7 linked regions of the Mus musculus genome follow. Each later gene encodes a partner of the first gene's protein in a complex. Links are inferred from orthologs where the notes say so. Each region holds a gene or a part of one and is shown on either strand. Other genes may lie near its edges. A codon is read from its position in the direction of its gene.

Region 1 (4,739 bases):
GTAGCAAGCTGCTTTGGTGGATGCAAAGTTTCTTTGCCATCCCCTCCCACACCCCCAATTCCACCTCCTTTGCCCTCCTCCTGCCGAGGGTTTCCGAATGTCTTCGGGGCCTTTCCGAAGCCGCCGAAGCCGCTCGGCCCTCTCCGCTTGGACCCCGACTGTGCTCCGAACACTGTCGAGATCCTCCGAGCCCCGCTCCCAGGTCAGGCCGAGCGGAGCCGAACACCGCCGAGCCAAGCTCAGCCCCATCGACTTTTCCAGCCTCGGCTGGGCGCTGTCCACCACTTACAACGCCTGAAACCTCACCCTGGCTCAGGAGGCCGAGGCTTCTACCGGACTCCCGGCCTGCCACAGTGGATTACAGACTTGTGAAGTTTCGAAACCTGCCCCTAAGGAGAAAGAGGTGGCGCGGTTTGCATTTCCCGACACGCGAGGGCTCCAGGCAGATGCAACATGCACCTTGTTGCAAAGAGCAATTCCCCAGGCCCCGCCTCCCCATCCATTTGGACTGCACAAGCCCCAGAGAAACCCCAGGCCAAATTACTGGTGGCTCAGAAGGGTGAGGCTAGCCGAAGGGGCCTGTGAGAAGAAAGCCCCCGGGAGCTCTCGAACGCAAATAAGAACATGCCAAGCAGATGGGAGAAACTGTCTCCTAGTCGCTGCTCCCTACCATCATGGCGCCGCCTGGAACTCGCTTGTCATGCCTGTTACACATGCAAGAATTTTTGCTTCTTGGTTTTGAAACCACAAGCACGATTTGTCTCCCACCCACCTTCCCTCGAAAGGGGCTTTTATTTTCCATTGTTTTCCTACGGGATGCAATTACTTCGGCTATTCTGTCAAGTTGAAAAATAATCATTTTTGTTTACAGCACAGCAACCTCTAATTAGGAGCTGTGTGTGCACGAAGGTGTCACAGCAAAGCGACATGGAATCCTCGCTAAACGGTCCTAACGAACTCCTCCGTCCCGAACTGACAGGCCAACGGAAACAGGGCCAGGAGGCCCGGAAGGCACGCACCCGTTCCCTGCCGGCCACCCCTCCCCAGGCAGAGCTGCCTGGAGGCTCACCGGGAACCGTGGAGTGGATGGGGCAAGAAGCAAGCCAGAGAGGAGGAAGGACGGGCGAGGCTCCTAAGTGGGGAAATGTGGAAAGGAAGGAATATCCCATTTTGTTTTAATTTTCAACCATCACTCAAATCCACCCCCAGTTAATTAGGAGGGGAAACTGATATCTAAGGCAGAAAGGGGGCGGTGGCAAGTAGGGCCTGAAATCCGCATTGAAGGTAGAATACAGAGTGTAAATACAACGATAAAGGCTACACAGTGACTGGAACCTGCGGGTGTCAGAAGAGCAAAGGCTGGAGGGCCAGGGAGGAGAGGGGCTGGAGGGCAGATGAAACTGGCTTTTAGCCCCACAGACCCTCCCACCTCTGCCTTGGATAAGGCTGTGTCTGTCACATCCGCTTGGAAACCCATCCTTTCTCCCCAGTGCACGCCCCCTCCCCTAACCCTTGCTCGCTTTGGGGGGGGGGGTCGTCTAAGCCACAGCCACCAGGAATTCAGCACCAAACTCGTGAACAGCAAACACTTGATCCTCCACCCCAATCTGCTAGGGCTGGGTCCCCTCCATGTTTTAGTCAAGTTCAAAATCACTGCCTCAAGAGAAGCAGGGGGAAGTGGGATTCGAGGGGTGGGGTGGAGGAGGAGGGGAAAGAAGATGAGGCAGAGACAGAAATGGAGGCAGTGAAACACGAAATACTCCACGAGCAAGAGTTATGATCATAAGCACGCCAATAGTGTGATGTTCTGATCAATATGGCGGACACTGTCATTCATACAACTAGAGGCGCTCTCATTCCCTCCCCGCAAACACCGACCCCAGGAGTTGGGGTGGGGGACCCAGAACCAACGTAGGGAGTGGGGGAGGGGAGGCAACCTCGGGTTTCTTCTGTGTGTGCGCGAATTAAAAACCAGGCCTGGAGAGCAAATATGGGTGAGCAAGATAATAAAAACGATATAAATTATTCTTAATAAAAGTACAAATCCCAATGACACAGGGACTTACTTCATCTGCTTCACAATGGTGCTTTTTCCTGATTCTCCAGCCCCTGTTGGGACACACAGAGGGGGGGAAACTGGTGAGTGTCAGCTCATGGAAATGGGAAGGGGGCTTCAAGGCATGCACAGGGTGGGCGCTCCTGGGCACAAGGTGTTGCCAACTCAGGGACCAGATTTCCCAGGGCGCAAGTCGGGTTGGGAACTGTGGCGGGGGTCGAGGGGCGGGGGTGGCTACCCAGGTCCTTACCCAGCAGGAGTAATTTCACGTCTTTGGCGGCGCTGATGCCATCTTCTTTGAGGTTTTTCTCAATCGCCTTGCTCCGCTCGAGGGCGGCTCTCTCCTCTGCGCTCAGCGTACATCCCATGGTGGCCCCTTCCCTGCCACAGCCCGCACGACTAGGCTGGCACGACTCCCCGGGTCGGCGCGCCCCCCACCCCCCCACAGAGCAGAGCCTGGGCTCAAAGGGGAGAAAATCACGATATCCTCTCCTTGGCTGGGAACAAAATTGTCGAAAGACCAGAATCCCCCCAAAAGGACAGCCTCTATTAAGATTCCAGCGGCGAAGATTAGCGGCGGCTGGCTGGGGTCTGGGGGTGTCGAGGTGAGGGTAGCCGGGGTCTGGGGCTCCGGAGCCGAGAGAGGAGGCGCCCGCGGGCCCGGGAGGCGCGGGTTGCAGGCACCGAGGCTAGTGCACGACCCAAAATAAATAAAATAGGAGTCGAGGCTGGATCCGCAGCCGGAGCCGGCGGAGGGTGGGGTGGGGGGCAGGGTGGGTCCTTCTGCCGCGGCTGCCGGAGGCGGAGGAGGAGGAGGCGGAGGCGGAGAAGGTGGAGGCGGCGGTGGCGCGGGGTGTGGAGGGAGTGAGTTAGGGGGTGCCGCTAGTGCATGTGCATCGCCGCTCCTCGGCCGTCGATGCGTCCGCGGCGCCTTCTCCGACCCCCGCGCGCGGGGCAGGGCTGGGCAGAGGGCCGGGCCGGGGGTGGGGGGTGCAGCTCTCTCTAGCGGGAGGCGGCGTCGCCGGGGCCCAGAACTCGCATCGCTCGGCGGAGCGGACAGGAGACGGGGAGAGCGCGAGGGAGCCGCGGCCAGCGGGGAGCGCGAGAAGAGGCGGGCAGGGAGGGCAGGGCACGCGCGCGCGCGCCGGGGCGGGCGGGGAGGGGGGGGGCGAGGCGAGCGCAGCTCTCGAGTGCGCCTGGTCCTGCGCAGCGCTCCGCCAGCCGCCCGCTGACGTCAGCAGGGCCGCGCGCCGGGGGCCCCGGGGACGGCGCGGGCGGGGGCGGCGCGCATGCCCGCGGGACGCGTCAGACAAGCGGGCGCGCGCGCGCGGCGCCGCCCACTCTCGGGTCCCCCTCCCCCCGCGGCTCCCGGAGCGTGCCGGGCTGGGGAGGGCGGGGCCTGGGGCCGGGCGCGCGCCTGCGCCCCACCCCGCCCCACCCCGGCGGGTCTCGCGCGCCCGGCCCGCCTCCTGTCAACCCCAGCGCGGCGGTCAGGTGGTCCCCAGCCCTGGGCCTGAGCCTCCAGCTTCCTGGTCCCTCGGGCTCTGGGTCGTGTCTCCGGCAGATCGCCTTACCGATTGTTCTCCTTCGCGGCTGGAGGTGTAGCCCCTAGTCGAGCTATGGTGCCTCCGCAGATGTGAGGAGGTAGTGGGTCAGGATAAACCCGCTCACTCCATAATAACGCGCTGGGGCTCAGTGACGGATTTGGGTCCGCATTTATTGAGCATCTAGTGTCTAGAGACTGGGCTAGTAGAGAGGAAAGTAGCAGGCAGAGAAGAGGCAAGGCCTGCTCCGCAGGAGTTTTTGCCTCCCTTAGCCAATGTGAGCCTTACCGCGAGATGCCCACAACCTCTGTCGCTAGAGATGGTTACCATCCTAGGATGGCTTGATGCCAAAGGCCCAGGGACAGTCTTTCATGAAAGCCTCTAGCAAATACTTGTTCCCTTAAATTTTTCTCTATATGATGAATCGATGGCCTCCCTTGGTTCTTGAATTCTTGTATCCCCAGAACATAATCCGGTAAAAATGAATTCTTCATAGGTTTGTGATAAGAGATTTTTTTTCTTCCTTTCATCTTAAAATAACAAACTACTAGAAGAAATACACCCTTCATATCTTCTCAGATAGTCAGAAACCAGGGTCAGTTATTCAGCAAACAGCGAACCCAGCACTGGGGAAAACAGTAGACAGTTGCCAAAGATCGGTCATGTTCTGGGTGGTCTCAGAGCCTGAAGACATTAATTCTTACTGCACAAAATAGTTTTACAATCAGTTCCACCAGTCAGCCCCAGGGGCCTTCCTAGATGGAGGAGCCAACAGGCAAGACTGCCCAGGATAAAGACAGGCAAGGGGCCAGTGGAAAACACTTTCTTTTTTCGTAACAGTTGGGCATTTCTGTGACTCTGAAAGTAAACTTGTTTGCTTCATTTCAGCAATGGAGAGAAAATCCTATTTTGGAAATGTCACTCAGCATAAAAATATATTTGCAAGGGGGAAAAGGGGCAATTAAGACCCACTCAGAAGAAAATATTTTTTCTCCTGCATGTTTTTTTTTCATAAGTTTGGTGTTTCCCAATGTATGTTTGTCTCATTCGACAAATGTCTGTGTCAAAAGTATATGTAATATAATTGGAATATTTAAATTTGAGTCATACCTACCTATTCTAGGAAACCGACAAAAAAT
Region 2 (4,583 bases), on another chromosome or scaffold:
AGTGGTTTGTACAGATCAACAACAGGTCAGCAGCATTGGACTGGAGGATCAGAGAAGCCTCAGCTTCCGTGTCTGCTCTGGGTAAGGTGCCATGTTCCTTCTCTCCCCTGCTTGTGTCCCCTGCCTGCCTGATGCCCACACATTCTCCCAGAGCCTCAGAGCCTACCACAACCAACCAGAATCCTGTCTCTTCATCATCCTCCACCAGCTCCATGGGGTCCCCCTGACTTTGCTTGTGTCATTAGCACTGGCCACACCCAGAGGCCACACACAACTGTTTCTGATGTGAGGCTTCTTGCAAGGGCCAGAGAGCTGTCTTCAACGGTTTGCTGTGCTGAAAGGGAAGGGCTTTGTCCCAACTCTGCACCAGTATTTCCTTCCTCTCACTACTGGAGCTGGGAATACAGAAGGGAAACCTGCTGGCCCACTGCTAGAGACTCCTCCCACCCCACCCCACCCCACAAAAATTAAATAGTCTGTCTTCTTTTCTAGAAGGTGAATGGCTAGAAAAGGTAGGAAGGTGGGACCATCTAGTCTTTTTCCAAGAAACAAAGTAAGCTCCAAGTGCGCTGAGTAAGCAAGGGGAAGGGTGGCAGGAGGGGCCAAAAATCCTGCTAAGGGGCCTCAGAGGGACAGCTGAGACAAGTGTCCTTGACAGCCACCTTGGGAACCACACAAGCTAACCACAGGTCTAGGGTACACATGCCACATGCCAGCACTGTACTGGGCACCTTAGTCACAATAGCCCTGTGGTTCAGGGGATGGTACAGGGGACCTAGGGAAGCTCAAGAGGGCTCCATGCTGGTGCTCTTTGCAAGCATCCTCAGGATGCATCCTGACAAAACCTGAAGGGAGTGAGCCACTGAGAAGAGGAGTTGGGGAAGTGGGAGATGGACCCCCACTCCACACCAGTGTCCTCCTCTCCCTCTGCCTGGGTCCCAGAGCTATCTTACAACAGCCATTTAGGGGAGCGTGTGCAGTTAGGGACTGCGGCTTCCTGGTGTTATGTGAGCACGCCTTCATGCACACAAAAGTGGGAAGGATGAAGACCCTCCTTCAGTTCCAGGAATCCTGTACCTGTCCAGGATAGAGGATGGACCCTGACACCCCTTTCTGCAATAGTATGGAATTCCAAGCCAACCTCCTGCCTCATGCTAGTACTACTACTGGCAGCCAACGGTCACAGAAAAATGGCCCACCGGTCAAAAGGGAGCAAGACCATCTGCCTATAACTCAGGAGCAGCCATACCCTGTCCAGTGCTCTCCGACACACAGGGTAAACTCTAATGCCCACATCCCAGAACTCACAGCTCGAGTGACTGACAGGAATCGGTCATAGCTGATCAGCACGATGTTGAAGACTGAGGAGGCACACAGTAGGTAGTCTACCACCAGCCACAGCTTGCAGAGGCCCCGGCCAAAGGTCCAACGGCCGGTCAGCACATAGGGTACATACAATGGGATGCAGAAGGCACCTATAGGAAAGCAGCTGTGGTGGGACCATGGCTCAAGAGCTGGGGTCAGACTGACCACATAGAGAAAGGGCAGAGCCTGGCCTTCATAGGGTAGCCACCTTTCTAGGGCTAGTACTATATCTTATTTATCCTCCTAGTCACCCTGTCCCCCTACAACTGAGCAGCTGCCATCCTCCAGCCCATCAATGTCTTCTGGACCTGGTGGCAGGAGGAAGGACCTCCACATAGGGACCTCTGAACACAAAACCTGGGCTTCTGCCAGCCCCACCAACCGCCAAAAGAGGAAAATGGGATATATGTCCTCCCTGGCTTGATTGGCTCTGGAGCCGATCATCCATCTCTACCCTGGCTGTTGGACAGCCTCCCTTCTCAGCTTAAAAACCGAGAAAGCTTTTCTCTTGGCTTAAAGGGTTCTTGGCTGCAGCCGCGCCAGCCGCTCTCACCGCCCAAACCGGCTTCCAGCGTCTGGGAGACGCAGCAGCTCGCAGCCCCAACAGGTGTCTGGCGCTCCGGCCCCCACCGCGAGCCCCGCCCCCCCTCCCCCAGTTGGGAGCAGAGCTTGGACACGTGAGAACGAGCTCCTCGGAGCATTTCCCTCATCTCACCCCCCGCCTTCCCTACGGTCCCCTTCCCCAGCACACCTCCCCAAATCCCCCTTCCATGTCCCCTCCCCCCCAGCGTCCTCCCAGCATCCTGAGTCCGGCGCCGCTGCCTTTGTTTGGTTCGGCGCAGGAGCCAACGCTGCACCGGCGGTCGCTGCGCCTTGCGCCTTGCTGAGCGCCCGCCGGCTGGGGCAGCCTCCCCGGGGACATCCCTACCTAGCCCCCGTCTTGCGGCCCGGGAGGCGAGGAACTTCTCCCGCGCCCACCATCCTAAGGTTTCTAGAGCTCCTCTCCCAAGGCCGAACCCCTGAGAAGCCACCCCAGGTCGAAGCGCCAAGCCCCATTGCCCAGCCCGGGCTCCGCGCCCCTGGACTCTGGCAGCGGACAGGGTCTGGGGGCTTTACCCACGAGGAAGTCGGAGATGGCGAGGTTGAGCAGAAAGAAGTTGTTCTGGGTGCGGAGGCTCGAATCCGCCACGAAGGCGAGCATGACCAGCGCGTTGCCCAGCACTGTGGCCACGATGAGCAGCGCCATGAGCGCAGCCAGGACAGCGGTCCAGGCAGCCGAGAAGCCGCGCGCCCCGCCTGCAGCCGCCGCCTCTCCGGCCAGAGCGCCCGACGCGTTCATCAGCCCGTCGGGCGGCGCGCGCTCCATGGCCCAGCAGGCTCACAGGGCTCGGGGACACTGGGCAGGGCAGGGGCCGAGTGCTGGGTGGCCGGGCGGGGCCCCTGCTCTTGAGCCTAATCTTTGCCGGCTCTTCACCCAGCCCGGTTTTCCGGGGGGCGCCCGGAGCATGGTCCGCGGGACCGGAGCGAGAGCCGAGTCTGGAGTCCGGGAGGGTGATGCAGAGGGGGCTGGTATCGGAATCTGAGCAGAGTGGGGCGGGCTGCGCGGCTGCTGCAGCGAGAGCAAAGCCGAGCTCCAGCCGCCCGCGGCGCGTCGGTGCACCCCTAGCTCAGCGCGCAGCCAAGTGCGCCCCGCGATCGGCCCGCCGCCCCCCGCGCCCCGCGCAGAGCCCCCGCCATTGGCTGGCGCCCTCGCCCCGCCTCCGTCCCGCCTCCGCCCCGCCCGGCGCGGGCAGCACCACGGACAGCGCCGCGTGCCCGCCGGCCGACTAGAACCCCTGCCCCGGTGCGCACCGTGGCTGGCGGAGAGCCCGACTCGGGCAATAACCAGCTACAGGGCTGGGACCATGTCTGAGGTCGCACCTAGAAGCTGGTCCCTTGGCTATCCGTTCGCCCTCGTGCCCTCGCCCCTGGTGACCCCTGCCCGACCCTTGTCCGTAGCTCCTAAGCTTGTCAGGACCTAGGACACTGCCCGGGTGGGGTGGAGAATGGCTGCCCCGCAGCTCTAGGGAACTTGCGCCTCAGGACTCCCTTTCGCATCTTGCTTTGGGCAAGTAGGTTTCTGGGGTAAGAGATGTCCAAAGAAAGATTGGGGAGGGGTCCCTGAAAGTGATGCCGGGAACAGGGGTTCTCTCCAGCCTCATATGCACAGAACTGTGGGGTCTCAATCTCCACGTGGTTAGACAGAGCTCAGAACAGGGTCCAGGGTGACCTGCAAGGCACACACAGATGTGGAGTTACATAAGGGAAGAACGAGCCTGAGCGGACCCAGCCCAGAGCTGAGAACATTCACCCAGAACTCAGCGGCAGTGGGTGGAGGGGCGACCCACAAAGCAGCTTGGTTCGGGCCACGAATGCCCCCTGAGATACCTTAGTGGGGTGGTCACTGCTGCAGGGGACAGGTGAGGTCACTGAGTTCTGGGTGCAGCCGGGGTGGTGGCAGCTGCGTTAGTGCCTGTGGGAGGGGGAGGAGGAAAGCCGCCGGCCCCCCTTCTCTGACACAGATACTGGAGGTCAAGGACAGAGTCAGCAGCAGAGGCTCCCTGAAGACAGACAGACACACCCACGCTCTGACACACAGACATTCACATTCAGGGAAACAGCCACCCAGCATCAGGCTGGGACCCACGAATAGTCAGACAGCAGACAGACAGAGAACAGTGCCCGAGGGAGAGGGGAAGCAGTGACTGTCCTCTGTCACCAACAGCACACATCAGTGGATGCCTCAAAGTGGACAGAAATGTAGACGGTATGAGTGTGGGGGAGGGGGACCCCAGGCACCGCTTCAAGCACCCCACACTGACAGCCAGAGGCTGGTCATGTGAGGACCTGCCCCTCCCCCACCCCAAGTGGTTCTCTGAGAACTTTGGGCAGTGGGGACTGGCATTTCTCTGTTCCAGCCTTGGGGATGCTGGCAAAGAGGAGCCTCTACCCCAAGCCCATAGTCTCAGCCCCCCAAAGGCACCCTGGAAGCTTCTATGGGGGAGGGGTAAATTCCAATGTATCGTCTCCAGAAAGCCTTCTCTGATCTGCTCTTACAAGCAAACCCTTCGGCTCCCCTCCACAGCACACTGACTGTGTCCAGAGGCTGCACTGGGTTCAGGCACTTAACTAGAGGTCAAAGTAACATGTCCTGGAACTGGACAGCAAGATCCAGCTGA
Region 3 (4,110 bases), on another chromosome or scaffold:
CACATGCTAAGAAGGCACTCTAGCACTGATGTTTCTCTGCCTCCATTTACACCCCTCCCACACACATTTTGTAAAGATCGATTTTAGAAAAATGTTTAGAACTATAAACTCCACATTTTTTCCTGTGTTGGGCTCTACACAGCTTTAATATTGATATCTCCCCCCAGAGATACAGTCCTTGTCCATACGTAATGTGCAAACTTTTGTATTAATCAAGGACCCAACTTGATATCTGAATACCAGGCTTACTCTGACAGGTCACTGGTGTTTGCACATGGTTTCAGCCAAAGGGGGTATTTTTTAGATAAAGGATGGTTATTCATTTGTAACAGAGTCTGCATAGAGTGCCACTGATTTGAATCTTAAGTAATTTTACTCTTTGATTCTGAAGAGTAATTATGCTCAAAATACACTGAATGACCTTGTGATGATTTTTTTATAACACTATTGTTGACAATTTGCTATCATTGATAGTGAGAATTTACTACTTTCACTACTTTATTCATCCCACATCTTCCCACTCATACATAGCTCTGACACACATTGATACATTCTTTTCTGTTAACTATTATGAAAGGTTAAGAGAGGTGATCAATTTACATCTGCTTTGCAGATTTAAATATTAATAGCACATGTTTCATCCGTAGCCTTTATAGACTATCACTCAGGGGCATAATATCACTTCAATCCTTGCTACAACTCTAAAAGAAAAAAAGAGAGAGTTTGAGATAAAGGAAAGTACATTTCATAGAATTTTAGCCACAAACCCAGAACTACGTAGCTAATGCATGGTGTGAGATAGACTCTCAAAGTAGTTTTAATTTGCATTTCTCTGGCTAAGGATGTTCAACACTTTCTTTCCAGATATTTAGTATCCATTTGTATTTCTTCCATGTGAACTATTGATTAGGAGATTTAGGGCCTTGAGTGTTCACATTATGTGTATGTGTGTGTGTGTGTGTGTGTGTGTGTGCGTGTGTGTGAGCTACTAGTCTGTCTAATGCATAGTTGTGGGCCTCAAGTTCTAAAACCCAGTTGAAGCCAGTGCCTCCCCCCTAACTCCACCCTTCCAATCTAGTACATACTTCTTCATAGTACATACTCAAACTTGATGAAGAAAACATAGAACGGTGTATGTTCCTCTCTGCTATGTATACAAAGAAACTAGGTGAAGACAAGTTGTTCTCATGCTTCCAAAATACTCCCAGGACCTTGATTTAAACTAAAGTGTACAATACTACATAACACATTTATCATACGAACATGAGTGCTTTGAAGTTCATCTCCATTGTGAGCATCTTCTTCATTTGTGATCTAATCGTATTTGCTTTAGTGACCCCAGAAAATTGGAGAAAAGAAGTGATGAGAAAGTGGTGGAAGCCAGCTACTATCTCATAAAAGAACAACAGCCCCCACATAATCAGCACATCCTGTTGGAAAAGAGGATGTCCCTGCTTCAAATACTTGTCCTAGCTTCTAAATGGCATGTTTCCCATTGTCACACCAGTACTGTCACAGACTAGCAGGGTATCTCTAAAAATTCCTGAGTTGCAATCGTCACTATAGTTCACATCTCATAGAGTTTTCAGTGTTCAGTCCGGATAAGGATCCCAGATTCAGTAAACTATCTGCCTTGACTGGCAACCTCTCTATATAGGACGTCATTGTGGTGCTCCTCAGGAATCTCTCATTAAGTGCAGCCCCACAAAACAAAAGGGAGGCCAAGGAAGATTATCTTAAAACAAAACAAAACAAAACAAAATAAAACAATAGAAAGGCCTTTGGTAAAGTGCTGATTTTAGCTATAAATTATTACTCACTGTCCTAGCAATAAGTTCCTTAAACTCTTATTATCTCAGCTTTCTTCTTTCTGCAAGGGTAGTGATATAATATATTACAAAGACTTTCTATAGCCCTTAATACTTACTGAGAAAATGTGTATCCAAGAGACCTAAGGCTGCATATTCTTTTATGATTTTTTATTGAAAAATAACTCATAGTATTTGTAAAGAAAAGGAAAGAAAAGAATTGTAGCCTGCCTATCCACTGACTTAAAAGTGATTCTAGATTACTTTCTGCAACTTTTTGGTCTATAGCTTCCTTTTCAGCACAATGAAAGATCTGTCAAAGAATAGTAAAACAATAGATTTAATAATGGCTTGAAACAAAGAAAACATTTAGAAAATTGTTTTCATATAATCATATCAGTCTTACCAATAGTAAATGATAGTTCTTTTATAAGGTATGGAATTTTAGAAATTGTACTGTCAAGAGAAGATGGACTACAATTGTAAAACAAAATTGAGAAAAACAAATTTACTTTGGTTGGGTGCATTGGTTAGTACTTTGTCTTTCTTATCGTTACCTTCATTAATTTTAATAAGGAAAAGGCTCAGTCTGCCATAAAGGTGTTACTGACTATAAAACTCACACATTCAATTTTGTCTTCTGTTTTCATATTTTATTTCTCCCGGATTTATTATTTCTTTCAAATCCAGAAGTTTATAGTTGTTTTTAAAAATTTTAACTATGTACTTGGTTTAGTCATTTCAACTCATAAAGATATGGTGATATAAGCAAGCAGGCAGATACACAGACACTCGTGTCTGTATATGGAGACACTCATTGTGTAATTGAATCATGAATTCATCATCAGCCATTAAGCCATTTCAATCTTCCATCTATAGTCTTTGCCTCTTGGGTGGTCAGATCTGTTACAGTATATATTCAGGACACAGAAAAGGGACTGGGAAGTTTTCCAAAAGGAAGAAAATTTATGTGTTTCAACACAATATTTATATTACATTTGTTAACTTCATTCTATTTCCCTGCAGGTTTAAATGTTTCTTTGGCCACTTGACTACTGAACACAAAATGAATAACTCAACTAACTCCTCGAACAATGGTTTGGCTATTACCAGTCCTTACAAGACATTTGAAGTGGTATTTATTGTCCTTGTGGCTGGATCCCTCAGTCTGGTGACCATCATTGGGAACATTCTAGTCATGGTTTCCATTAAAGTCAACCGCCACCTTCAGACTGTCAACAATTACTTCTTGTTCAGCCTGGCCTGTGCTGACCTCATCATAGGTGTTTTCTCCATGAACTTGTATACCCTCTACACTGTGATTGGCTACTGGCCTTTGGGACCTGTAGTGTGCGACCTTTGGCTAGCCTTGGACTATGTTGTCAGCAATGCCTCCGTTATGAATCTTCTCATCATCAGCTTTGATAGATACTTCTGTGTCACAAAACCTCTAACCTACCCAGTTAAGCGGACCACAAAAATGGCAGGCATGATGATTGCAGCTGCGTGGGTTCTTTCCTTCATCCTCTGGGCCCCAGCCATTCTCTTCTGGCAGTTCATCGTAGGGGTAAGGACTGTGGAAGACGGGGAGTGCTACATTCAGTTCTTTTCCAACGCTGCCGTCACCTTTGGCACTGCCATTGCGGCTTTCTATCTGCCTGTCATCATCATGACTGTGCTCTATTGGCACATATCCCGGGCGAGCAAGAGCAGAATAAAGAAAGAAAAGAAGGAACCAGTGGCCAACCAAGACCCGGTGTCTCCGAGTCTAGTGCAAGGAAGAATTGTAAAGCCAAACAACAACAACATGCCTGGTGGTGATGGTGGCCTGGAGCACAACAAGATCCAGAATGGCAAGGCTCCGCGGGACGGTGGGACTGAAAACTGCGTTCAGGGGGAGGAGAAAGAAAGCTCCAACGACTCCACGTCTGTCAGTGCCGTGGCCTCCAACATGAGAGATGATGAGATAACCCAGGATGAAAACACGGTTTCCACTTCCCTGGGCCACTCCAAAGATGACAACTCTAGGCAGACATGCATCAAAATTGTCACCAAGACCCAAAAGGGTGACGCATGCACACCAACAAGTACCACAGTAGAACTAGTGGGATCGTCAGGTCAGAATGGTGATGAAAAGCAGAACATTGTAGCCCGCAAAATTGTGAAGATGACCAAGCAGCCTGCCAAAAAGAAGCCTCCTCCATCCCGGGAAAAGAAAGTGACCAGGACAATCTTGGCTATCCTGTTGGCTTTCATCATCACGTGGGCGCCATACAATGTCATGGTGCTCATCAATACCTTC
Region 4 (3,226 bases), on another chromosome or scaffold:
GGGAGAACTGAAACCCAACAGCATGTCAGATCTGTGTATAAGCAGATATCTATAACACCACATAATTTCTTTTTTTGTTGTTGTTTTTGTTTGTTTGGTTGGTTGGTTGGTTTTTTGAGACAGGGTTTCTCTGTGTATCCCTGGCTGTCCTGGAACTCACTCTGTAGACCAGGCTGGCCTCAAACTCAGAAATCCACCTGCCTCTGCCTCCCGAGTGCTGGGATTAAAGGTGTGTGCCACCACCGCCTGGCTAAATTTTTTTTTCTTTTGAATCAAGATCTCAGTATGTAATCTAAGGCCATTCTCAAACTCCTAAAAGCTAGGGCTTGCAGGCATTCACTACTATGTGCCTGGGCCAGGCTCTTTTCAGGCAGTGAAATCTCAAAGAGCAGGATTTCAGGACTGATGTGACCCAGAAGGCACCAGGCAGAGGAGAAGCCCGGCTCCTTGTGGACTACCCTGCAAAAGCCTTTCAAACCCAGCTCAACCCTTTCGTGCCTTCAGCCACCCACCCCGTCCTGTATCCCCATCCCACAGAATCACCAGAGCTGTGATACCACAGGCCCTCCATACTCCCCTGGACCCTCATATCATCCATACTGTCCTGGGAAATATTGGGATATTATTTTTGAGTTTTATTTTCAGGTTTTTTTACAAGAATATAACATGCTCAAACAGAAAAACAGTGATCACATACACTGCTGATAAAGGAACCCAGCTCCCTTTGTTAACAATAAATAAATATTAACACAGTGGGGAGTCCCGTGTCCCGTTCCCCCCCCCCCCCAGCCCTCAGTGATTCCCAAGGCTTGCAGAGGTAGAGTCTGGTAGGGAGGAGGCGTGATCAGGCAGCAGCTCCAGCTGAGGCTCTTCAGTACAGGCAAACAAACCACAATAAATAACAATAGCAGCGAGACAATCGGCACAACACAACAGAACACAATATTATACTTAAAAGAGTTCTCTCCCGGAGAAACCTCAAGTGCAGAGGGAAACAACCTAGGTCTCCGTCTCGGTGGCTGGTGCTGGAAGTCCCAACTTGGAAAGTTTGTTCGGTAAGACTCAGAAGTGATAGGCAGGCAAGTTGGTTTCCCCCGGCCCCATCCTTCCAGGCAGCCCTCCCCGCACATCTGCAATACTCCCTTGGCTGAGCTAACTTCTGTTCCAGAGCTTTCTTGGTCCTTGACGGGCTTCTCCCCTAACTACAGTGGGCATCTCATGTCAACAGGAAAGAAGCACAAGGCTCCCCTTCCACCAGGGTGAGGGGTAGGAGACACTTTTCCCCATTTTCATACCCACAAAGAGAACTGGTTTGACTTCAGCTAGTCTTTTGGGCTCCTAGATGGATTTTTCAATGACTTCTCTCCCTTAGCTCACCTGCTGGACATGAGTGCTGGCCCCTGTGCCGGAAGTCTCCTTCCTCCCACCTCCCTCCTTAGACCCCATCTTCCAAGGAGCGCAGGGCCCAGTAAGACTTCTCAGTTAGCCCTGTTCACAAGCAGACCCTGCTGCAAAGGTGAAGGCAGGGGGCCACCTACAAGACGGCCATGGAGAGCACCCAGCTTAGGGTCCCATGAGCAGAATGGCTTCTTTTGCAGGATTCATCATTGACCCGGAAAGGGGCTCACAGGCCGGTTTTTTGAGGTATAGAAATCTCATCTGGGCCAAGAATCAGACAGACTCATTGACCTCTGTGAGACGGCAAGAATGAGCACAGGAATATTAAGAAGCCTCAGCTCGGGGGCCCTGGGTGTCCCTGGGAAGGCAAGGGGCAGGAAATGAAGGTTCCACACACACAGCCTTTTCTAGGCCCAGTCCAGGAGTGAGGAAATCAAGACGGGGACCAAAGCCGACTGTCTGGCCCTTAAATAACTGCTCTCTGGCTCCTGTTCTCATGGTTCCCAACCACCCAGCATCCCTTTGTGTGTGCCCTGGTAAAAAGTATAAGTTCTGGGCCACCCTTCCCCCCAGAGCACCCGGCGCAGCCTTGTCGTCAGCCCTCAGTCACAGGTCCTGGAAATGAGGAGTCTCTCCTACACTGGCCCACCACAGTATCTGGAGGAGAGGGGGTTCTTCGCACTCAAGCTGCGGGGATGGATGTCCGTCTGTCCTTCCACTATCCTCTTGCACTTGCTGCACAGGATCTGCCTCCCACACAGGGCAGCTGCTTTAGGGACGGGCGACTCCACCTCTCTTCCCGATGGCTTCTAGGTTGCTGCGGAGGCTCAAGTGTGTGAAGGCTCAGCTGGGCTGCCGCTGGGTGCAGAGGTGGAAGTGGCCGAGGCTTGGGCAGCCAGGTCGCGATAAGCTGGTGACTTGAGGAAGCGCGGATAGGAGTCCTTCTCCATCAATGTGCGGGTCTTCCCCTGAGCCACATCGAAGCAACTGGTAGTGGCAGCTTGTAGGTTTGTCTTGGTCAGTTCTCGGGTCTCGTGATCTATGTTCACCTGTGGGGGAAGCAGGGCAAACCACAAAGGTGAGTGGTGTGGAGTGGGGTGGCCGGGCAGGGCAGGGCGGAGGGGGGGGGAGTTTGGTGAGCAAGTGATGTCACTGAAAGAGTACCAGACAGTAAATAAAGTGACTCCTTTCATATACATATATACATATGCATGTATATATGTGTATATGAGTATATGTGATCTGTATGTATATGTGCCTGCATAAGTGTGTGCACCGCATGTACATAGGAGCCTCTAGAGGCCTGAAGGATCCCCAGAAATGGAGTTAAAGGAGGTTGTGAGCTGCCATGCTGGTGATAAAATATAGGAGTTCTGGATGTATAGTGTGGGGTGACCTATGTCCTCTACAGCAAGTGCTCTTAACCACTGAGCCATCTCTTCAGCCCCACTCACCAGCTTTTCGGGTCTAGGACAGTTCCCACTTCAGACCCAGGGGTTGGTCCTCTGATCTCTCAAGACTAACATGAGGCCTTTTATGAATGCTACTCCTCTGCTGGTTCCAGTCACCACCTCTGCGCTGGACCTGTGTAGTAATTCGGCTCCTGCCTCCCCTCACTCCCACTGTCTGTCTGTCCTCACAGCTGCTAAATCGAGCCCAATCCGTCTGGAAATACCCTAGCTTCCTGTCCATGTCATTCAAAGGAAAAGCTAGAATGGCTGCATCTGGCCACCAGCCATGTGTATGACCTCACCTGTCCCCGTTCCCTGTGGCAGGATGTCCTTCCCTCTCTCGATCCTTACAACTCTTGGCCTTGTGTGTTCTTTCA
Region 5 (4,585 bases), on another chromosome or scaffold:
TTTCATCCAATTTTTTTTCCAACTTTGGGCGCTTATTGCTCTGAACAGTCATTCTTTTTAGTTTGTTTGTTTGAGGCAGGGTTTCTCTGTGTAGCCCTGACTTTCCTGAAATTCCCTCTGTAGACCAGGCTGGCCTCAAACTCTTGCCTCTGCCGCCTGAGAGAGGGGCTTAAAGGTGTGTGTCACCAAGCCCATCTTGAACAATCATTCTTAATTCTCTCCTTCATGGTTTGGGGTTATTTCGTCTTCTGCTCTTATTATTCTGCTAAAATTGCATCTAGAACCCAAAGCCAGACGGACTTCTCTATCTTCTACAGTGAAGTTCTCTGCAGTCTGCCCTCCTGGTCGGTGAGATCCTTCCCTAGTTCTGAGCACTCGGACAAATGCATCCTTTCTGCCCACGTCTCATCCCTTCAGATCAATGCTGCTTTATATTCCTAAGCAGGGCTAATGGTTTCCACTTAGAAATACGCCCCTAGAATGGCTTCTTCCATGCCCTACACTAAAATTCTACCCATTAAAATACTTACTCCTCAAGGTTAACCTCAATGCACTATATCTAAAACAGTCTCTTATAATCCTCGAAGAAACTGATTCTTTGGTCTCTCACTTGTACATGTGTGTGCTGACTCATGTACATGAATGTAGAAGTGTGTGGTTGATTTTTTTCTGACATGTCCTATGAGGAGGCACATGTAATCTTAGGTTGTAATTTTTATAGTGGCCCTAAACTGTGTGATGGTAAAGACAAGACCTGTTTACAAATGCCTCTTCCATATCATTTAGCATATGGATCAAGGGTCACTTTTTTTTTCTTTTGTTTTTTTCTGAGATGAAGTTAGATTATATAGACCAGGCTGGCCTCAAACTGGAGATCTTCTGCCTCAGTCTACCAAATGTTGGGATTACAACGCATGTACCCCCACGGCCAGGGGGATGCTTACCTTTCGGGTTTAATTTTTTCATTTTCAATTACATTAAAAATATTAGTCTTTAGCCATTTTATTTTTTTCCCATATGGCTTCTTAATTCCTATGCTGTCTCTTCTAAATTTCTCTCTTGATTTTAAATTCCCAAACATTACTGGATGTAGTAACAGTTTATATCTTTAAAAATGATTAATTTTCATTTTATGTGTGTTGCTGTTTTGCTTGCATGCGTGTCTGTGGGATGGTGTCAGATTTCCTGGAACTGGAGTTACAGACAGTTGTGAGCTGCCATGTAGGTGCTGGGACTTGAACCCTGGTAGAGCAGGGTTCTGGAAGCGCAGCCACTGCTCCCAACCACCGATCATCTCTTCAGCCTCCTCCATTTTTATTTATTTGATTTGATTTGATTTTTTGGTTTGCTTGTTTTTAAATGGAAGCTGGGACATTTGGAAGCGATTCTGCTGAACTTGACAAAAGTTTGTGACAAGTCTTATGCGGTAAGCAGAAGTTAGGATAACAACAGAATAAGAAGAAAAGGAGAAACGATACCCACTCTGGTCTCTGTCTTTTTCAAGTCCTACCATTCCCTTATGTGAACGGCAAGAACTCGGATCTAGTGTCCCATTCCAACCTCAATGCGTACCATCCTAAGATGCTGAGAGCAAAGCCCACCCAGAGACTGCTAGGAACAGAGCAACCCACAGACATCCCTCGCTGTGCAGCTTTTGATGCTGAGATTCTGGAGATGACGTGGCTTTCACGTGACCGCAGCCGGGGAGAGCCCCAGCTACTCACCTAATAACGCCTAGGTTACTGTTCTTTTTTACTGCAGGGATCACATGACTGAGAAACTGTGGTCTCGATAATAAAGTGGACATAGCGATTTAAAATAACAGAAGTTGAAAGGAAAACATTCCAATGTAAGAGCAACTGAGTTCCGTGCTGTGAGGAATAGTTTAAATATCACAAATGATCTTCCTTGAAAGCTCACACCCTAAAAGTCATCCAGGACAAGACCACATTACATTTCCCCAAGTTCTGAGCAACCCCCCCCCAAAACCAAACCAAACAAAAACCCTCTATGTTTAAGTTTTTTATAAAGATTTCAGGATTGAGTTGGCCAGAGTAATTAAAAAAAAACCTGAAACTAAAATGTATTTATGATGAGTAAAAATTAGATTTAAATATCAAATAATAATTATGGAATGATAGAACCAGCTATTTTGATAAGGAATAGCTCAAAGAACGGGAGAGTTACAGAGAGCAACAGAAGAAGAATCCACATATGGGCATATATATATGTGTGTGTGTGTGTGTGTGTGTGTGTGTATATATACATAAAAATAAATGTGTGTACATGTGATCAATGATTACAGAAGCAAAACTAAGGGAAGAAAACATGATCTATAATCTAGGGGAATAAATAACATAAATTCATTATTATTTTCAGAATGAAAATATTAAAAGCCAAGATAAATAGAATGTATAGTATTTACATAAAAATAAAAGTAGACATGGAGATAAGACAGGAGAAATAAAAATTTGGGAAAGTTGGGAGGCAGAGACAGGCGGATTTCTGAGTTCAAGGCCAGCCTGGTCTACAAAGTGAGTTCCAGGATAGTCAGGGCTACACAGAGAAACCCTGTCTCGAAAAACAAAAACAAAACAAAACAAAACAAAACAAAACAAAACAAAACAAAACAAAACAAAACAAAAGTTAGGGAAAGAACCAGATATGATTGTGTACAACTTTAATCGCAGGAGAAGGAGATATAGCTCTGTGAGTTTAAGGCTAGCCCAGTCTATGTAGTGAGTTCCCAACCATCCAAGGCTCTATGTAAGACTCTCAAAAAAAAAAAAAAAAAGTTTTAGGGAAAAGAATAGAAGGAAACAGAAGATAAGGAACTTGAAGCCATTGTACATAATCAGCAGGCTAAACCAAGCATGAACTATAAGGCTCATCTATGTTTTCTTACCAAGCACACTGAGATGGAATCCAAAGGCTCCAGGACTGATGATCTGCGAGCCACCAACAAATCCTGTCTGGTCCAGCCAAAATGAAGTAGTGAAGTGCATTGGACGAGTTGCTGAGCACTGACTTTTCCCTGGGTAAAGGGAACTCAGGATCATGACTGCTATCTGACTGCACAGGAAGGGCCTTTCCATGAGTCACCTCTTAAACTTAGCCGGCGTAGATAAGAAAAGCAGAAGGACAGAGGAGGGCGGGTGGAGGAGGCCGATCAGGACACAGATATTTCCTGCAGGAACCTGTCACCTTAGCTACGAGATGCTGAGATGCAGGCAGGCAGAAATTTGAGGCTTGTCTGTGCTACAGAGTGAGGTTTTATTTTTTTCCCTTTAAATTTGCTTTATTTTATCTTTATATCAGTATGTGTGTGCCATATATGGTTGCTCACAGAGGCCAAGAAAGGATGCTAGATTTCTTGGAACTGGAACCTAATGTGGGTGCTGGGATCTGTTTTTAACCTCCGAGCCATCTCTCCAGTCCCATAGAATGGGGTATTTAAAAGATCTATTGATTTTCTTTTATGTGTAGGAGTTCTTCCCCCCCCCCCCATTTGTGTGTACATATATTTGTGCCTGCTACCTATGGAGGCCAGAAAAGGGCATGGGGGGGGGGGTCCCTGGAATTGAAGTTATAGATTTGCCAGTCACTCATTTGGTGCTGGGAACTCAACTATTAAGCCATTTTTCCAGCCTCTACAGAGTGATTTTAAGACCAACTTGAGAAAGTTAGCAAGACCTTATCTCAAGACAAAAAAGTAATAAAAGATCTAGGGATATAGATTGTGGGTGAGCACTTGTCTGCTATGTCCTAGGTCTTGTGGTTAATCCCCAGGTCAGGAAAAAACTGTGTGTGTGTGTGTGTGACGACGGGAGATGGCTATGATCAAGTTAGGTTGAATGCATATGTACTTGTTAAAGAACAAATAACACATTTAAGAACAACAACAAAAAGATGGCTGAGTTGGGAGGTGTAGCATAAATTTTTTGCAACCTACTTTTAATTATAAGGTTCATTCTCTTCTCTAACCTACCACCCAGCAGAGAGAGTGGAAGAAAAGTTATTAGAATATGGTGGAAGTGGGCCTGTTCAGCAATAGTTCTTTGGGGGGGGGTGGGCGCAATCCCCGTCTTCTTTCTCAGCAGTTCAGTCCCATAGCAAACACCAAATACAACTCAGCAGTTGTAGACCAGTCCTATAGGCAGGCAGATGCCACACATGAGCTAGCAGCTTCAATCCAGTCCTCTCCACCAGCAGACACCGGGCATGAATGCCAACTGGTCTGAGGCAAGGCTGCTAAAGTGGCAAGCAGCTGCAGGAACCGAAGTCCTTGGGTGAGTTTCTCTCAATGGCTGCATTACCACGAGTTGAGCTCAACCACGCTATATAAGGTGAATGAAGAATGGGGAGACAGAGCAAACCAAACCAAGGCTCAGTGCTCATGCCCCACTGTCTGTGGAGTCATATTTACATTCTTTCCTCAAGTGTCCTTTCACGTGTCTGCTATATCAAAACTTCCTTTCACCGTCGTCTGCTTCAGGAAAACATTTTCTCACATGTTTAGTTTAGCAAGACATCCTTTCACCTGTGCACCCCAGCAAAACATCATTTGACAGAACTAACTTTCCAA
Region 6 (3,704 bases), on another chromosome or scaffold:
GCCAGTGTGGTTTTTCCTGGAATGGAAAAGCAAGGGGAGGAAGAGGTTCTTGGGACAGCTGGGGCATGGGTCAGTGGGTGAGAAGCTCAGCTGTGGCAATACAGATGTGACCGATAATGAGAAAAGCCACAAGAGGGAGACAACTGGGAGTCAGGAGGACTACCTATAATCCCACCTCAGCTGTAAAACCAGCTTAAGGCTAGCCTGGGCTACATGAGATCCCATCTCATATATTAATTAATTAACTAACTAATTGATTAAATGTTTCAAACTCATAGAGGCCATACAAAACATAGAATAAAGCTGGATGTGGTGGCTCATGTCTTTAATCCTAGCACTCAGGAGATGGAGGCAGGCCCATCTCTGTGAGTTCTAGGCCAGCCTGGTTCACATAGTGAGTTCCAGGACAGCTAGGGCTATGTAAAGAGATCCTGTCTCAAAATAAATAAATACATAAATAATAAATGCCAAGGCATGGAGCCTGTAAAAATTCAGTGAGGTTAGTGTCATCATATAGAAAGTGTGAATAGCAGAACACAGGTAGGCTGGGTCTGTGATATGTGACAACCAGTGGTCACATATCCACTGGGAAGAAGAGAGGGCCTAGCAGAGCTAAACTCCAGTGTTTTCCATCATATACTGTTTATTTGGATCTCATGAGACAGTCTCCCTGGGTAAGCCAGGCTGGGTTCTAAAACTCAATTCTGGCCCCTGAACCTCCCACATGCTGGGATATAGGTTTGCGCCACCACACCCAGGTCTTCTTTCACATTTTTAATTTGACCAGGAAATTCAAAACCATTCCCATGCTTGCATGATACTTCTGGTGTTGATCTGTACATATTTTCTAGCCAACACATACACTCATGCACACACATTCATTAAGCTGAAAGAACGCATTATAAGACAGGACACCTCTGGCCAGTGATGTGACTCAGCAGGTAAAGGTGTTTGCTGCCAAGTATGATGACCTGGGTTCGATTCCATGAGGACCTTCATGGTTGCAATGAGAGAACCAATTTCAACAGGTTGTCCTCTGACCTCCACACATATACCATGACATTTGCCCAGCACCACCCCCTCACCCCCCACAAAATAAATAAATACGTGCTTTTAAAAAGTTAAACAACACATTTCTGTACCTTTTTAAAAAAAAAAAATTTATCAAGTAAGCCATGCATAGTTGTTTTTACAAAGCTTGGATATGTTGGGTTCCATTAAATACCATTCCTGAAAACACAAAATTGTAGAAATAAAGGATAGGTCGGACACAACAGCACAGGTCTACAGTCACGACACTTGGGAGATGGTCACAGGAGGATCTGGAGTTCAAGGCCAGACTACCCTACATGAGACCTTGTCTCAAAAAAAAAAAAAATCAAACATAGAAAAGAAATAAAGGGTGGGTGGATACTGGTTGCCTGGGGTTTGGGGCTGTAGCTTGCTTATGTGATATATCCATAAGCCCTGGGTTCCATTGAGACCTGGGTTCAGACCAGAACCATAAAAAAAAAAAGGGAGGAGGAGGAGAAGAAGGAGGAGGAGGGAAAAAGAAGAGGAAGAGAGGAAGAAGAAGGCCAGGAAATTCTCTTGTTCTCTGTTATCCAACCCCTGGAGGTCATCATTAGGTGTATCTGCCTAGCCACTGCAGGTGGGCAACGTAGCCAAGAAAAAAAAAAAAAGCCTTAGAAAAAAAGCCGAGTACTATCTTAATGTGATGCTTTTCATCAAAGGAATTTATATTTATAATCTCAGCCTTCATGAGGATCCTGGGCTCAAGGCTAGTCAGAGCAACTTAGAGAATTGCAGAAAATTAAACATGCAAAGAGAAGGAAGGAAGGAAGGAGGAGAGGCAGGAGGAGGAAGAAGAGGAGGGGGTAGGAGGGCTGGAAAAGGAGCAGCTAGGCCAGTTGTGGCTTCTCCTCTACACCGCCTGACTCTTCCGGGTTGAGGTGTCCGTCGTGGACGGAGTGAAAGTCTTGCTATCCCTGCCCACTGAATCCTCAGAGAGAGCGTTTCGTATGATGCTGGGGAGAGACCTTAGGAGTCGTCCATGGAAACCCTGGCCAGCCATGACGTAGATGATAGGGTTAACACAGCAGTTGATGTAGGCCAGGGACACGCACAGGGAGTTCAGCTTCTCCACCCTCTTCAAGGTGGGCGAGGACGGGGGCAGCCACGCTATCATCACCCCGGTCACCTGATAGGGCAGCCAGAAGATAAAGAAACAGATGACCACAGCCATCACCACTTTGAGCGTCTTGGTGGAGCGCGTGGCCTTGCGACTCCAGGTCCGGAGCAGGAGGAAGGTGTAGCAGATGTTTAGAGTGAGCAGAGGCAACACAAAACCCACCATCAGCCGCAGGATGGCCACAGCCTTCTCTTTGGGGAAGCTACCCCCACCATAGTTAATACCACATACAGTGTGCTCTGAGTAGAAGTCCTTATATGCCTCCCGGTACACGAAGGATGGAATGGTGAGGAGCAATGCTAAGACCCAGGCCACTCCACAGGCCATCCATGCCAGGCCAGTCCCGCGGACCTTCTGACACCAGATGGGCTTGAACACCAGCAGGAAACGGTCGGCACTAATGGTAGCCAGCAGCAGGATACTGGCGTACATGTTGAGCAGGATGAGCGAGGGCAGGACTATACAGGCGGTGGCATCAAAGTACCAGTAGTTATGATTTAAAACGGTCGTGAACAGGACAGGCAGTGCCAAGCACGAGAGGAGGTCGGCCACCGCCAGATTCAGAAACCAGATGGCGTTGACGGCCCGTCTGGCCTCGAAGGCTGTCACCCACACCACCAGGGCATTCCCAGGTACTCCCACCAGGAACACCACCGAGTAGATGATAAGGGCTGCAACATCCCCAGGTTGCCGCTTCGGGAGGTGAATGCCATCCGCAGGTATGTTAGGATCCATGGTTCCATAGTGATCATAGTTGATTTCAAAGCTGCTGTTATCTATGGGGTCCTAAGCAAATCAAACAGGTAGATTGTGTGAGTTGGTAGACACATTCCCAGGGGATGGAGGCATTGCCCGTCTTTCTGAGTCTCAACTCTACCAAGGGATGCTGAACACCTATAAAACTAGTATAGTTTGTAGATTTTATTTTGAGACAGGTTCTCTGTTAAATTACCCAGACTGGTCTTAAACTCACTCTGAAGCCCAGGATAAACTGAAATCATGGTGGTCCATCTACTTCAGCTGCCCAATGCTGAGACTACAGGCATGGCTCTCCAGACCTGGGCTTTAATCAAGTATATGGATTGGGGTAGGGAGGTGATGAGAAAAAATCTCGGGGCTGGTGAGATGGCTCAGTGGGTAAGAGCAACCGACTGCTCTTCCGAAGGTCAGGAGTTTAAATCCCAGCAACCACATGGTGGCTCACAACCATCCGTAACGAGATCTGACTCCCTCTTCTGGAGTGTCTGAAGACAGCTACAGTGTACTTACGTATAATAAATGAATAAATCTTTAAAAAAAAAAGAAAAAAAGAAAAAGTCTCACTCTGTAGACCAGGCTGGCTCCACTCTTACAGAGTTCCAACTGCCTCTGGCTTCTGAGTGCTGGGATTAAAGGGGTGCAGTGACTGACCAATGAGGTATTATTTTAATTTGTCACTGTCTATGTATGTATGTATGTATGTATGTATGTATGTATGCATGTATGTATGTATGCATGTGCATGCCATAACACA
Region 7 (3,001 bases), on another chromosome or scaffold:
CCAAACTGTCCTCGGTAATCACTTACCAGGGAAAGGAAGCTTGGCACATGTGTGGGCTCTTGCTGCACTCATCAGCGTGACTGATATGCCCCAGGTCATAAGAACACCTTCCAGAGCTCTCAGTCTCCCATCATCCCAGGAAGTGGCTACAGTTGGGATTCTAAGTCACTTTAGAAATACAGTCAAGCACAAGGGAAGAGAAAATGGTCAGAATGGCAGTTTACAGAGGCGTCTTTCAGGAGCAGGAGCAGTTTGAATGGATGTTTAGCAAATTTGGGGTTCACAAGTACACACTGTCACATTAGATGCCGCTTTCTGGGCAAGACCCAGCCTTATGGGTGTATGAACACGTGCCTTCTAGATAAGCCATGCCTCGGGGCCACAGTGTTGGCTTTCCATCTACAAAGTCTCTGAGCAGAAGAGAACAAGGAACTCTTAGAGCATAGGATATCTCTCTCACATGCAGGTCTGACCAAGCGCCTCTGTGGACAGTGTGAATGAAGGACATATGCCAACATCCACAAGGACAGCTTTAGGTTCCCCTAATCACGTGAGGTACCTTTTTCAAGATAAAGTATTTCTGCTCCAATATTGAATAAAGTGCAAACAAACAAACAAAAATCCATGCAAAGGGCTTATAATTCTCTTTAAAATACCCAATAACACCAACAGACACATCCCGCCCTAGCAGCCACTGAGAACTCTTCATTCCCCGTGATTCCAACAGTCCCCCCTTTTCCATCCAGAGACTATTGCAAATGTAAACACTATTTACAGGGGAATAGTCACGAAAATAAATGAGCTAGAAAAGTTAACGAGCCAGAAGTCTACATTACATTTTTTAACCTAAATTAGGTGCTGATTTGGCACAGATATACACCCTTTTTGATTTTTTTAAAGTGTCTTGCTTTGTTTCCCTCCTCCTAAAATATTATCAAAGTCTTAAACCTAAACATTATTCTTCTAAGACAGGACAATTTAGTAATTTCACAGCATTTTCCTATGGCAAGTATAAGTAAATATGAAATTTGTTGTGAAAGTTACATTTGTAAGTCACATGGTGATGGTTTTAATTCTAAATTAACATTGCTCCATGGAATAATATTTGGGGAAAACAATCCTTAGACATTTGTTGGTACAAATCTGCATGAGGCAGCATGTCTCTGTGTGTCTCTATTCTCCCACAGGATACTTTTGTCTTCGTTCATTCTGAATCAAACGTCTCTCCTCTTTGGAGACGCAGCTAACGCATTTGCCAAAAGCATCCTTAAAGCTACACACAGGTTTGCAGCAGTCCTCGGCAGACTTCCATGGAGTTTCTTAGTTCACCCTAAACTCCCAGCTCACAGGATTGTTTCGTAGTAGAGTCAACGCTGATCTCCCAGGATGTACTTGATGGGTCTCACATCCCCAGACAGACCTCTGGACACCCACGACTCAGATGAGGTGCCGGTCCACAAAGGTTCAATAAAATAAAAATCACTATTCTGTGCCCACAGTTGTATTTCAAAGCACAGACTAGACTATTACCTCTCCTCTCAAATTTTTTTTTAAAAAGAACTTTTTCCCTATATTAACTGGCCTGAAAATGTGGATTTCAAATATTATTCTCTGCTTTACAGAACTTACTTTACACCATGGAGATCAAAACATTTGCAGAGTGCTGTAGGACTTTCATTCCTTGAGAGCTAGAAACTATACAGAAGTTTCTTTTGTCTCATATATACAATTATAGAGTAAAATGAAATTGGAAAATGATCTTCAGTAGACCCACGAGTTCCCTGAACAATCAACGTCCTTTTACCACTGTGGAATGTAGTTGGATCGATAGGAATTGCTGTGGAGAATAAGCTGCCATGTTACTTGATAATTCGCTCCGCCCTCCTCTCTCTAACACACATGGGAGCTGGAAGTCGGGAGGCTCCCGCAAACCTTCACACGTGGGTGCAGTTGGTGGATGGCGGGGTGTCCATCCGGCTCTTGTTTTCCTTAGTTTCACTGCGTGGAGATTCATCGCAAACATGACACTTGAACACTTGCTTGTACGCCTTCCGGAAGTTTTCTGAGAGAAAGGCATATATGATGGGGTTCACTGAGGAGTTGCTGTATGCCAGGCAATGGGCGGTGATTCTGAAGAAGAAGGAAGCTGGCGTCAGTGGGAAGGCTCCAAACTCAGCCCAGAGGTGGACGACATGATGGGGCAGCCAGGATATGCCAAATACTACAACGACCACCAGGACGGTCTGTGCAGTCTGGAAGAGAGAGTAATGGAAGAGGGTTGGAGAGGGGACAGGAGCTGCAGGAATACACCAGTTATATCAGGAGAATACAGCGCTGTAAAATACACCTCTGTAGCATTTATTTATTTAAAAAAACTTTTATTTATTTATTTAAAAAACTTTCTTTTTAAAAATTTACTTATTATTATATGTCAGTTCACTGTAACAGTCTTCAGACACACCAGAAAAAGGCATTATGAATGGTTGTGAGCCACCATGTGGTTCCTGGGATCTGAACTCACGACCTTCGGAAGAGCAGTCTATGCTCTTAACCGCTGAGCCATCTCTCCAGCCCTCACAGGTACTTTCATGAGATCACACAAAAGTGTTAAATTTGACCTCACACAACATCTCAAGACCCAGCAGAGACCTAACACAGTCCTGATTCCTAGGCACGTGTAAAACGCATGCAGACTGTGGTAAGTGTGAGATGGGAAACAGATCAAGACTAAGGACTGTTGCCTAAGCTAGAGAGAATTCTGCCAGCAGCCAAGAGACGAGGCAGGAGGAGCCAGAGCTCTGGACCAGTGTGACCTTTACACAAGACCTCCCAACTCAAGAAAACCCAACCAGCATAGCAAGCCTCTTCCAGTGCGCACACACCAAGTTCCATCAGGAGCCCAGAGCTCAGGCAAACCCGGGTGCACCCAAGTGGGAGAGGTTGGTTTCTCATTACTGAAGACAAGGTGGAGACTCTGGGGAGCTAACCTTCTCACAGCCAT

The links.
Region 2: the proteins of Gnao1 (region 1) and Hrh3 are in contact, whole or in part, in a cryo-EM structure (PDB 8YN7), measured with the Homo sapiens proteins. The link is inferred for Mus musculus from reciprocal best matches to the Homo sapiens genes GNAO1 and HRH3. Residues at the interface, in NP_066268.1 of Homo sapiens: Ile28, Ala31, Lys32, Asp33, Val34, Lys193, Asn194, Leu195, Asn312, Pro315, Asn316, Lys317, Glu318, Ile319, Tyr320, Phe336, Thr340, Asp341, Ile343, Ile344, Ala345, Asn347, Leu348, Arg349, Gly350, Cys351, Gly352, Leu353, Tyr354; in NP_009163.2 of Homo sapiens: Asn69, Asp131, Arg132, Ser135, Val136, Ala139, Val140, Tyr142, Arg143, Ala144, Gly147, Ile221, Ile225, Arg228, Arg232, Thr345, Phe348, Arg349, Arg352, Val356, Leu360, Cys415, His416, His417.
Region 3: the proteins of Gnao1 (region 1) and Chrm2 are in contact, whole or in part, in a cryo-EM structure (PDB 7T8X), measured with the Homo sapiens proteins. The link is inferred for Mus musculus from reciprocal best matches to the Homo sapiens genes GNAO1 and CHRM2. Residues at the interface, in NP_066268.1 of Homo sapiens: Lys24, Ile28, Ala31, Lys32, Leu195, Tyr320, Asp337, Ala338, Thr340, Asp341, Ile343, Ala345, Asn347, Leu348, Gly350, Cys351, Gly352, Leu353, Tyr354; in NP_000730.1 of Homo sapiens: Asn58, Arg121, Cys124, Val125, Pro128, Leu129, Thr130, Pro132, Val133, Lys134, Thr136, Ile209, Ser213, Lys214, Ser215, Arg216, Ile217, Arg381, Lys384, Val385, Thr388, Ile389, Cys443.
Region 4: the proteins of Gnao1 (region 1) and Rgs16 are in contact, whole or in part, in a crystal structure (PDB 3C7K), measured with the Mus musculus proteins. Residues at the interface, in NP_034438.1 of Mus musculus: Glu64, Asp65, Gln68, Ser75, Arg86, Thr117, Val180, Lys181, Thr182, Thr183, Gly184, Ile185, Val186, Gln205, Arg206, Ser207, Glu208, Lys210, Lys211, His214, His236, Glu237, Asp238, Glu239; in NP_035397.2 of Mus musculus: Glu85, Phe86, Ser87, Glu89, Asn90, Glu124, Ala125, Pro126, Glu128, Val129 (codon at 2,447), Asn130 (codon at 2,444), Asp132 (codon at 2,438), His133 (codon at 2,435), Glu134 (codon at 2,432), Leu161 (codon at 2,351), Lys164 (codon at 2,342), Asp165 (codon at 2,339), Ser166 (codon at 2,336), Arg169 (codon at 2,327), Lys172 (codon at 2,318).
Region 5: the proteins of Gnao1 (region 1) and C3ar1 are in contact, whole or in part, in a cryo-EM structure (PDB 8I95), measured with the Homo sapiens proteins. The link is inferred for Mus musculus from reciprocal best matches to the Homo sapiens genes GNAO1 and C3AR1. Residues at the interface, in NP_066268.1 of Homo sapiens: Ile28, Ala31, Lys32, Asp33, Val34, Asn194, Leu195, Ser264, Asn316, Glu318, Tyr320, Asp341, Ile342, Ile343, Ile344, Ala345, Asn347, Leu348, Arg349, Gly350, Cys351, Gly352, Leu353, Tyr354; in NP_001313404.1 of Homo sapiens: Asn57, Asp119, Arg120, Val123, Val124, Pro127, Ile128, Gln131, Asn132, Arg134, Asn135, Tyr356, Ile359, Arg362, Gly366, Arg367, Phe368, Ser371, Lys374, Thr375, Val378, Leu438.
Region 6: the proteins of Gnao1 (region 1) and C5ar1 are in contact, whole or in part, in a cryo-EM structure (PDB 8JZP), measured with the Homo sapiens proteins. The link is inferred for Mus musculus from reciprocal best matches to the Homo sapiens genes GNAO1 and C5AR1. Residues at the interface, in NP_066268.1 of Homo sapiens: Ala31, Lys32, Lys193, Asn194, Leu195, Glu318, Tyr320, Phe336, Thr340, Asp341, Ile343, Ile344, Ala345, Asn347, Leu348, Arg349, Gly350, Cys351, Gly352, Leu353, Tyr354; in NP_001727.2 of Homo sapiens: Asn71, Phe75, Arg134, Leu137, Val138, Pro141, Ile142, Gln145, Ile225, Thr229, Arg233, Ala234, Thr235, Arg236, Ser237, Lys239, Thr240, Val243, Val244, Ala303, Gln305, Phe307.
Region 7: the proteins of Gnao1 (region 1) and Galr1 are in contact, whole or in part, in a cryo-EM structure (PDB 7XJJ), measured with the Homo sapiens proteins. The link is inferred for Mus musculus from reciprocal best matches to the Homo sapiens genes GNAO1 and GALR1. Residues at the interface, in NP_066268.1 of Homo sapiens: Ser264, Asn316, Glu318, Tyr320, Asp337, Asp341, Ile343, Ile344, Ala345, Asn347, Leu348, Arg349, Gly350, Cys351, Gly352, Leu353, Tyr354; in NP_001471.2 of Homo sapiens: Thr70, Arg133, Ala136, Ile137, Ser140, Arg141, His226, Leu227, Leu231, Asn233, Ser235, Lys236, Lys237, Ser238, Ala240, Ser241, Lys244, Thr245, Thr248, Leu306, Ser307, Glu308, Asn309.

What each region holds. Positions count from the first base shown.
Region 1 is NC_000074.6:93,809,021-93,813,759, reverse strand, and holds the start of Gnao1 (guanine nucleotide-binding protein G(o) subunit alpha), read right to left. Parts: upstream 2,923-4,739; 5' UTR 2,425-2,922; coding exon 2,307-2,424; intron 2,110-2,306; coding exon 2,067-2,109; exon of another isoform or gene 205-2,066; intron 1-204. UniProt on the Homo sapiens protein: Guanine nucleotide-binding proteins (G proteins) function as transducers downstream of G protein-coupled receptors (GPCRs) in numerous signaling cascades.
Region 2 is NC_000068.7:180,101,421-180,106,003, forward strand, and holds the start of Hrh3 (histamine H3 receptor), read right to left. Parts: upstream 2,988-4,583; 5' UTR 2,732-2,987; coding exon 2,482-2,731; exon of another isoform or gene 2,294-2,481; intron 1,476-2,293; coding exon 1,309-1,475; intron 1-1,308. UniProt on the Homo sapiens protein: The H3 subclass of histamine receptors could mediate the histamine signals in CNS and peripheral nervous system. Signals through the inhibition of adenylate cyclase and displays high constitutive activity (spontaneous activity in the absence of agonist).
Region 3 is NC_000072.6:36,520,336-36,524,445, forward strand, and holds part of Chrm2 (muscarinic acetylcholine receptor M2), read left to right. Parts: intron 1-2,834; 5' UTR 2,835-2,874; coding exon 2,875-4,110. UniProt on the Homo sapiens protein: The muscarinic acetylcholine receptor mediates various cellular responses, including inhibition of adenylate cyclase, breakdown of phosphoinositides and modulation of potassium channels through the action of G proteins.
Region 4 is NC_000067.6:153,742,855-153,746,080, reverse strand, and holds the end of Rgs16 (regulator of G-protein signaling 16), read right to left. Parts: intron 2,448-3,226; coding exon 2,226-2,447; 3' UTR 613-2,225; downstream 1-612. UniProt on the Homo sapiens protein: Regulates G protein-coupled receptor signaling cascades. Inhibits signal transduction by increasing the GTPase activity of G protein alpha subunits, thereby driving them into their inactive GDP-bound form.
Region 5 is NC_000072.6:122,853,079-122,857,663, forward strand, and holds the start of C3ar1 (C3a anaphylatoxin chemotactic receptor), read right to left. Parts: upstream 3,080-4,585; 5' UTR 2,906-3,079; intron 1-2,905.
Region 6 is NC_000073.6:16,246,114-16,249,817, forward strand, and holds the end of C5ar1 (C5a anaphylatoxin chemotactic receptor 1), read right to left. Parts: intron 2,978-3,704; coding exon 1,925-2,977; 3' UTR 632-1,924; downstream 1-631.
Region 7 is NC_000084.6:82,391,759-82,394,759, forward strand, and holds the end of Galr1 (galanin receptor type 1), read right to left. Parts: intron 2,253-3,001; coding exon 1,935-2,252; 3' UTR 738-1,934; downstream 1-737. UniProt on the Homo sapiens protein: Receptor for the hormone galanin. The activity of this receptor is mediated by G proteins that inhibit adenylate cyclase activity.